2 linked regions of the Caenorhabditis elegans genome follow. The protein of the gene in region 1 interacts with the protein of each later gene in a pairwise test. Each region holds a gene or a part of one and is shown in the gene's direction. Other genes may lie near its edges.

Region 1 (5,388 bases):
AACAACATAAGAACCTTGTTTTGTTAGTAACGAGTTGCTTTTAAAACTGTTATTAAAAATTACTGAAATTCTAATAAAACCGTTGATTCGTAGGTGCTCCTGAACAAATATTCAAAATGTGCAGGATTTTCTAAACAATTTCAGGCTCAGTCAGATCAGATTTCTTTTTGAATGGCTTGTTCCAGTCTTTACAGTTAATACTTCTAAATTATCAAGGTAGATTGTAGGGCAGTTTTACATAACTCTCACGGAGCTTCAGTGTTTTTAAAGTCAACTGGAACGTATTCTACGATCATCCAGATCCGGAAAACTTGCATCATAATGCACCGTTTCTGGCGTCATGTGCTCCTTGTAATTTCATTTTTTCTCTTCCACCTGCAACCGAGTATTCGGGGTCAACGTATCCGCTAGCCGCATTGCATGTCCGTCTAGCCGACCTCTGCGTCTCCATTTCTGCAAAACGAGATGGACAGACGGCACGTAACGCAGAGAATCTTTTCGTTTCTTCTTTTTTCATTTTGCTTCGCTCACTCACTCTCTCACTCACTCACACACGCACTCACGCAATGGTCTCTAACTCTCTGTGTAACTCTCCTATTTCTACCTACTACCTCGTCCAGTGCAGCTAGTCGGTGGCCCCCTTCGGTGAATAGACGAACACTGCACAGTTTACACTATTTGCATACTATCGATTGGTTACAATCTGCAACGCACTGTTTCTGTCTCTTTACATTCCTCCTAATTCCCTAATTCCATTGTTGCTCATTAGTGAACTAATGCGGGTATTCCCAGTTGACCACTAACTATTTTTTGCAAACTTTTCAATGTGATCTTTTGGATAATTTTCTTCTGTTCTTGTTCGAACTTTCATTGTTTTTTTCCAAATTGGAAATAGATTCGGAAAATGTTCGAAATTTGGAAAAGTTTGCAAAATAATTCCATTTTTATAATGTTAAATTGGAAAAAAAATTGTCCGAACAAAAATTTTCTCAGAACTAACTTCCAGTTTTTCTTCTTTTTTTTTATGCAAAAGTTGAATTTTGGTCCTCTTGACAACTTCGAAAATTACAATTTTTGTCCAAAACTTGCTACATTTTTTCAGCTCATTTTCCAATCAGCGTTACCTCCAAAAAAGTTCAAATCAAGTCAGTTTTGAATATCCAATGTTTGTCAAAAATTCAGAATGCAATAAACAAAACTATAGTATGTGATCAATTTTACTCCTCTAAAATTGTTTCTTTCTATTTTTTCGCTTAAATTAAATTTTCGATCTCTATGATTAGGCTGTCCAAATTTAAATTAAAAGTGTCGGCATTAATCTGGAATAGACTGAAATCCCAATATAGGAATTGCCCATATCTCGGTGTTTTGGACTCAATTTTCTTATACTTAATTGAATCTGTTTGTCGTTTACTTTTATGTTTTTGGTAGTGTGCTTTAAAAAACATGGCAATCGTTCAAGCTTTACAACTACCTGATTAGCATTTCTTTTCTGATTTATAATGTCATATCACATCAAAATGACCTAGAAACAACTTGATCTACCCCCCCCCCCCCCTGCCTTGTTGAAATAATCGAATCCCTTTTCAACTTCACCTGTCTCATTTGAGCTGCTCTCCTGCTCTCTACTGCCTTCTTTTCATCTTCAACATTCCACCACCACCTCCATTCCATTCGTTTTCGATTTAGTGTAACAAAGTGCGTTCTTCCCTCTCTTTCTCTCTTTTTCCCTCATTTTCTTCCTGTGTCCTTCTACTTTTCAATTTTATTTTTCTCGTTCTCGTGTTCCCTGCGTCTATTGATTTACCGTATTCTCTGTGATCGTCTTTTCCCTGGAACCTTTCTGTTTTGTCGAATTCGATTTGAAAACTACTACTCTCACTTTTTTTTCGCTCTTTCCCTCGTTCGCTTACTAGTTTCCAATTATTCTAATAATCCCCTCACGCAGTGTTTTATCTTGCAGAAACTTGTGAACCCTTATCACCTGCAATGGCTACCAATGGTCACGCAGTGAACGGAGAAGCTCATGTTATGCAACAAGTCGCACAACAACCAGCTCCACCAGGACCATTAGCTCCGCAAGGGATCGGAAGACAGAACGAAATTGTGATCGGAGGACGTGATCGACGTTGTGAGATCTATAAATTCACGTCTGATCAACAGTTGTATGCATCGGCATGGAGCAACAAAAATGATATCAAATTTCGACTTGCTGTGGGAACAGTATCCGACGTGTCCGTTAACCCATGTGCCGCAAACAAGGTGAGTTTTTGAAAAATTTGAAAACGTGTGAGTGGTAATGTTGGCCATAGTCAATAAGGTCCCATTTACTGAAATACCACAAAAAACGCAATTCTAAAAAACGGGTTTTTGCAAATTCTAATCTACTGTTTAAGTTGTCTACAAAATAAGAACTGCAAGATTAAACAGCGATCGTTCTTATTTTTGAGTTGAGTTATATTTTTGAGTCGAGTTTTACTATAGTTCAAAGACACAATTTAGAAAAACTGGAAATCGGAACAAATCGAAATTGAACTGTTCAGGTTTTAAACATAATTTTTGTCTTTCCTTTTGCGGTATTTCAGTATGTATATTAAAACATTTCGAATATTTTGAATTGAAAACCCTATAGACTGTACTCCAATGTAAAAGTTAAAAAAAAAAAAAACGAAATTTATATGTATTTTGAAACATAACAGTTCCAATTAAAACGTTTTCAGGTATCAATTGTACAACTAAAAGACGAAACTGGCGAGCTTGTCGAGACGGCGAGCTTTCCAATGGAGTTCCCAGCCAATGCAGTCGGTTTTATTCCGGATCCAGACAACGTTTACCCTGATCTCATTGCCACAACATCAGATTGCCTTCGCCTCTGGCGAGTAGTTGATGGAAAAGTTCATCCAGACGCAGTTATGATCAATAATACTGTACGTTAAACCTGTAAATTTTTAGTGTTCAATGGAATTTTCAGAACTCACAATATGGATCAGCTTTGACAAGTTTCGACTGGAACGAGCTGGAGCCGAGGTATATTGGAGTTTCCAGTGTAGATACGACTTGCACAATTTATGATGTTGAGGTGAGTTATAATTTTGATAAGATTTAGTGAAATGTTTACAAATATTCAGGTTGGTTGCGCAATTGGGCAGACCAAGCCGACAGCTCCATTCACACTCAAAACACAACTGATTGCTCATGACAAGCCTGTTCACGATATCGAATTTGCTAAAATCAATGGCGGTCGTGATCATTTTGCAACTGTTGGTGAGTCTTGTCTAGCTAGTATTTGCATCTTTTTATAAACATTACGAGTTTCCAGGAGCTGACGGAAGTGCCCGAATGTTTGATCTTCGACATTTAAACCACTCGACAATTGTCTATGAAGATCCAAACAAGGAGAAGCTTCAAAGACTGTCATGGAACAAACAAGAACCTTATTTCATGGCTTTATTTGCCGAGAACAGTCAAGAAGTTCAAATTCTTGACATTCGTATGCCATGCAACATTCTCTGTCGACTCCGTAATCACACTGGACCAGTGAACGGAATTGCATGGGCCCCACACAGTCCACATCACATTTGTACTGCTGGAGACGATTCACAAGCTCTGATTTGGGATCTGCAGCAGGTTCCAAGACCCGTTGATGATCCGATTCTGGCTTATTCGGCTGGTGGAGAGGTGAGCATTTGAATTTGAACTTAAAATCTTATCCGATCAAGATCAAAAAGTAGTGAGATTAAAAAATATATATACCTGAAAATTAAAACGAATGCTGAAAGAGAACTTTCAAAAGTTGACACTAACGATTACAAAAAAAAAACATTTACACGCAGTTATTTGAATTTAATTATAAAAATCTCATTCATTCATTGAACATTTTACCTGAAAATTGAATAAAAAGGTAAAAAAGGTGCGTCCCTTTTTGTTAATTTTTTGCATCAAATTTTCTTATATTTCTTAGAATTTTACATAATTTTCTACAATGTCACTAGTGGGACTCAGAGGTGCAGTCTTAAAAATTGCAAGTAATGAGCCACTTTGAAAACTGGAATATTTGAGATCTGAGAGTTTAAAAACTGTTTTTCGAAGCGGATTGTTTTTATTCTACCATGTTTACATTACATTTGCTGAAACAGTTAACAATTACATCCAAGTTTTTTCTTCTATGCCGAACTTAGCTTGGCTCCGTTTTCGGGGTGAATTTTTTTCCACCTGCTTTTCCGGAATCATAAACATCGAAGTTTCATACTACGTTCAGCTGTTGCACGTAGTTTCTTAGAAAACATAAACTATGAATTGTCACCTAAATTTTGTTGGAGATTTCCAGTTTCAAAACTTTCATTACTATACAATTTCCAGGTCAATCAAATTCATTGGGGTCCTGTACACAGTAACTGGATTGCAATTTGCTTCAACAAAACTCTTGAGATTCTTCGAGTTTGAGCAGAGGATGTGCGTTCTGTTTGAGAACTAACAAAAATTTCTCACATTTCTCAATTAACGTTATTTTCCATTTCCTGTTATGTTTTTATGTTTTTAAATTATAATTTTTTGTCAATTGCTCTGATTTCAAGTCACTTTCTCCGCCTTTGTTGTGAACAACTTATTTGAATTAATTCCAAAGCATCAGTATGATGATTCACGATCTCTTTCAAACCTCAATTTTCTCACGCCAACACACAATTGTTTTATCCACCCGAAAATTATTGTTTTATATCCTATTTTTTTCCATTTTCCATTGTGATAAGGTTACAGGAAACCCGAAAATTTTTTAAGGTGGTTTCAAAAAAAATTTCAGAAATTGTATTTTTTTAAAATATTTATTTTTAACTGAAATACTCCGGTAAATTCCTCCGGCTTTTATACTTTTCAAAATGGATTTTCACTTTGGTATTTCTTTAATTTCTGGTTTTTCACAGGAAAATTCTTCCGACACAGCAGCCGAACGTGAAGCCGCAGCGGTCGTCTCAGCTGCAGACCGCCGAAGACTTTCGGTTTGTACCGAGAGCTCCGCCCGCGCCAGCGGCACCCACATCGTCATCCGCGACGACGACACAGTCTGCTAATGTGAGTTTTCATTTTAGCGAAAGTATTGATGAAAAATTATGTACATCAAAATTGACGTCATTTTTCATCTGTGCCTACGTTGCGAAATGTGATGAACCTTTATATTGACCACCCGACCGTTTCCGCGTGACTGACTGAAAACATGTGTTTGCCATATGAACCTAATTTCTTGACAGCAATGTTGCTTATTGTTTCAGAATTAATCGACTAGTTTTTTCAAACTTTTTGATAGAAAATTGTTTCTTATGAACAGTTCAAGTTTTAGTTTCAATAATACATATAATATCTCTTGAAATACCTACTTTCTCTACAATTTTTTGT
Region 2 (4,549 bases), 1.0 Mb from region 1:
GAAAATTTCAACATATGTTCTGCAAACGCCTAACTCGCAATAAAAATTAGTTGATATTCTATCTTCTTCCATGTTTTACTGAAATTAGTTATCAGTATTAACTCTCAGGAACCAGAATAAACTTACAAAATAAATTTCTGCAAAATATTAGGTTGAACCGGAAATCTTTGTGACTGGGTTTGCTTTTCCAACGCTAGCCGCAGTTGCACTTTGGTGTTCCCTTGTTGCTAGGGTATAACAACGAGTAAAGGAACTTCATTTTGAAAATCACCCCACTCCTTTCCCTTTGGTCTGAGTTCAGTTAGCCGACAATGTATTTATCTAGTGCCATCCACATCCGACATGGTTCGATGCACCTTTTTCTCTCTCATACCACGATGAAGGATTCGGAAAGTCTCCTGAAGGATGTTTATCATCGACATGTCCGCCACTATAATACTATATACATTTGGTTCCATCACTTCGAAAAGGACGACTTTTCTCTCGAAGACTCTGAGACCCCATAAATTGGATTTGGACACGTTGCAGAAAGCCATGGCAACGGATCCTTTCCAAACCTCCCGTGAGCTGTCAACCGCACTTCAATCCTATCAAACCATCATCGTACGGGGCTGGGAAGCTCTTGGAATGAAGAAAATTATGGGTCGATTCATACCTCACTCTTCGACACAAGCCAACCATGATTTTTGAGTGGATGATTCCATTTCACCCCTCACTCTCCATGGGGCCGATCGATGTTTGGGCCGACTCATCACTGGAACCGAGAAGTGGGTCCTCCATGATAAGAACCACACGCGTGCCCAGTGGTTTGTAGAAGGAGAAACCCCACAGGGTGCCGCCAAACCCGACCTTAACCCCAAAAACGTCATGCTCTCAGTGTGGTGGGGAGTGTACGGCCCCATCAACTGGGAACTGCTTCCTGGGGGCAAAATAGTTAATGGGGACCTTTAAGTTATCTAACCACAAAACCTAAGGAACATATTCAATCGTTCACCCCTGAAGGACGAGCAACTCTACTTTCAACAAAACAACGCTTATCCCTACGTCACGAAACAAGTATTGCAGGAACTGGTCAGGTATGAATGGATGATTTTCCTTCACCCACCGTATTCTTCAGACCATGCCCCATCTGCATACTGACAGTTTTCAGATATGACTCGTGATCTCCGGGAAAGAACCTTCAATACCCATGGAAGTGTCGAATTGGCACTCAAGCATTATTTCGACTCGCGCCTGGAAGGGTTCTGTGAGCAGGGCCTTCATAAGTTGCCCACACGTTGGCAGTACATTGCTGATAATAATAGCAAATAAATATTATTCTGTCGTTTCTCTTGCTCCGAGAAATAAACGATTGAAAAAGTCACAAAGACTTCCGGTTCAACCTAATATATAAACAAATAACTTTCGTTGTCGCGGTTACAATAATTCCAAGAATTGTAGAAACCCAATAACATAGGTAGAACTGTCATACTTCATACTGTCACAATTGATCAACAAATTCACAGAATAACAAAAAATTTGAAAAATTCCATGTATTAGACATCAGACAGGAACAATAATTGATAGTTTTGGATACGTGAAGCCAATGTTTTTGAAGTCTATTGGAGGCATAGATTTACCAGAGTAAAACTAGATTTTCATAATAAACTTATAAAAATTATCAAAGCAAATTTCAGGCAAATCTCTAAATTGACAAACATTTTTGGACACTTTCGAGATGAACTACTTACATGAATACATACTCTAATGCTGACTACACATTCCATTTCTTTATTTTTCTTACGTCTTTTGTTTCTTGTAATTTTTCATCGAGAACAGAGAACATAGAAATAGACACTCCAAGTAAAGAGAGATAATGTTAAAATGCAAGAGACGGTTTCAAATCGGGCGCTGATCATTTGAAAAGTTTGCAACTGAACTTAGTCTGAGTGGTATAAAATGCCTGAAAAAAATTAAGAGAATATGTTGAAGTCTAATTCTCGAACTCAAAATGAGGTACTTATTATTATTAGCATTTTTTCCCGTTGCTTTCGGGTTCAATTATCTTATTATTTCCCCAGTTTTTGGGTACAGTCATATGAAATTTATGGGAAGAATTGCAGACATCCTTGCTGATGCTGGACATAATGTGGTAAGGTTTACTTATTTAAATATTAAATTTCTTATAAGTTCGATTTTAGACTTTATTCCAACCAATAATTTATGATTACTATGCACACAAAAAAATTGTGAAGAATCCGAACATTGAAGTGATTAATTATGAAGTCGATGAAGAAGAAAAAGCTGCAGCTTCTGAAGCGAGTGTTTTCAAGTTTTTCTGGAAAGCAAAAGGATCTAAAAACCCAATCTCTTCTGCAAAAATTACATCAGAAAAACTTTACAAAGAGTTTGAGCATATTTGTAGAAGTAAGATTCATAGTTTTGTTTCAAAAATGCATTCATCAATTTTTAGAAATGCTTTTGGACAAGGAACTTCATCGTTGGATTCTATCGAAAAACTTTGACTCCCACATATCAGAGGCATTTGATTTTTGTGGTTTATGTAAGTAATAATTTAATTTACAATCAAAGTGAATAATCAATGTTAGATCTTGGAGACTTCTTGAAACTAAAATCACCAATCCCTCTCTATAGTGGAGTTCGATGTGGAGCAGCTTCATACGCTGTGGGTGAACCTATTCCATTGAATTACTTACCAACAGAGGGGTCTAATTATGGGAAGAAATCGAGCGCAATTGACCGATTAAGTGACATGCTTGGACTAACCGGTTATCACTTTCAATTCGGGATTTTGTTTGATAAACAATATGATCAAGCTTACCGATTAACTGGTGGAAATGTCCGAACTTGGCAAGAAATACTTCAAAGCTCCACGTTTTTCTTGACAAACTCCAATCCTTACTTATCATTTTCAACACCAACAATTTCAAAAGTGATTCAAATTGGAGGTTTCACTATTGAATCATTCAAAACAACTACACTCGATGAAGAATTTAACAAAATACTTTCGCTCAGAAACAACACCATTCTAGTGTCTTTTGGAACAGTTATTCAATCATCAGATATGCCAGATGATTTCAAAACTGGACTTATTGAAGCATTTCGCAGAATGCCAGATGCTACATTTATCTGGAAATATGAAGAGGATGATAAGACGTTGAAGAATAAACTTTCTGAAAACGTAGTTTTAAGCAAGTGGATTCCTCAGCCAGCTCTGTTAGCAGACAGTCGATTAGATTTGTTTGTGACTCATGGAGGTTTGGGAAGTACTATGGAAGTTGGATATGCAGGAGTGTCAAGTATTATGGTAAGTGAGATAATTCACTTCTGGTTTCACTATTTTCCTGTAAACTTTTGAAATATTTTTTCATCCAGATTCATGATTAGAATATAAAAATGTTTTACCACCCGCTAACCTTCTTGTATCAAACGTATATTTTCAGGTTCCTGTATTCAGTGATCAAGGAGTAAATGCAGAGATGTTAGCTCGCCATGGTGGTGCCATTGTCTATGACAAATTTGATCTTGTCGATAGCAAGAAACTAATGGAGACGATCCAGATGATTCTCAATAATTCTGATTACAGAAAGAATTCGAAACGTCTTTCTGATATTCTTCATAATCAACCAATGGATCCGAAGCAAGTACTTCTAAATCATTGCGAATTTGCGGCTCGATTTGCACAGGTTGATAATTTAGAACCATACGCCAATAAATACAACTTTATCGAATTTTATTGTCTTGACAGTCTAGCATTGGTTGTTTGTACAATTTCTGTTGTAGCATTAGTGATGTTTAAGATCTTAAGTTTTGTTGTCAATAGCGTAATCGAAAAATTGAAATTAAAAAAAGAATAAATAAATAATTTTTTTCCAATATTCACTAGTCAGTAGAAAGGGCATTATCAGTGCATTTATGCATAGAACAGTCCCGTGGAATTGTTCCTTTTGTTTGTCAACGAAATTTTGAACAGTCTGTAGTCCATTGGTTAGTTTGCAGTTGATACCCCTAAAAAAGTAAGTTATCAAAATGAAGAGAAATCGAAGCTGATAATATTTTATGTACAGGTACAGAAGGTAAACCAATACACTCTCTTCTTGTTTGCCATGCTTCAAATTGTACTTTTTTTGTTTATTTCAACTCTATTCGGTAATGCATATTCTTATAAATTTCTAGTCATTTCACCGGTTTATGGATTCAGTCATATGAAATATATGGCAGAATTAGCAAATCATTTGGCAAGAGCTGGAAATGATGTGGTACGTTTTTTTATTCAAAAAGTACTCAAGATTTCAAACGTGGCGTTACTTTTTGTTCTTCGAATAACGTCTGCAATTCTACTGGGACTTTTTGAAAAATTATTGTTAAGGTATCAATCTGTACAAAAAAGTGTGAAAATTATTTCTAGTTTAGTGGAGAAGCTGTATGTTTCAAACAATTTTATATGTAAATGATTTTCATATCCGTTTCTAATACAGGCTTCCAATTTTAACTATTCTTGCCAGAGCTCATACGCTTTTCACAGTTTTTTTTAATGAGAACTGGAAAT

Evidence for each region.
Region 2: the proteins of swan-1 (region 1) and ugt-3 interact in a two-hybrid assay, tested with the Caenorhabditis elegans proteins (one large-scale study listed by BioGRID).

What each region holds. Positions count from the first base shown.
Region 1 is NC_003283.11:13,803,813-13,809,200, reverse strand, and holds swan-1 (WD_REPEATS_REGION domain-containing protein), read left to right. Parts: upstream 1-1,963; 5' UTR 1,964-1,989; coding exon 1,990-2,262; intron 2,263-2,720; coding exon 2,721-2,927; intron 2,928-2,971; coding exon 2,972-3,079; intron 3,080-3,128; coding exon 3,129-3,264; intron 3,265-3,319; coding exon 3,320-3,678; intron 3,679-4,359; coding exon 4,360-4,443; 3' UTR 4,444-4,806; downstream 4,807-5,388.
Region 2 is NC_003283.11:12,797,635-12,802,183, reverse strand, and holds ugt-3 (glucuronosyltransferase), read left to right. Parts: upstream 1-1,912; 5' UTR 1,913-1,990; coding exon 1,991-2,131; intron 2,132-2,180; coding exon 2,181-2,406; intron 2,407-2,452; coding exon 2,453-2,542; intron 2,543-2,588; coding exon 2,589-3,307; intron 3,308-3,443; coding exon 3,444-3,857; 3' UTR 3,858-3,876; downstream 3,877-4,549. Other genes in the region: ugt-6 (UDP-glucuronosyltransferase), read left to right, coding at 4,107-4,259.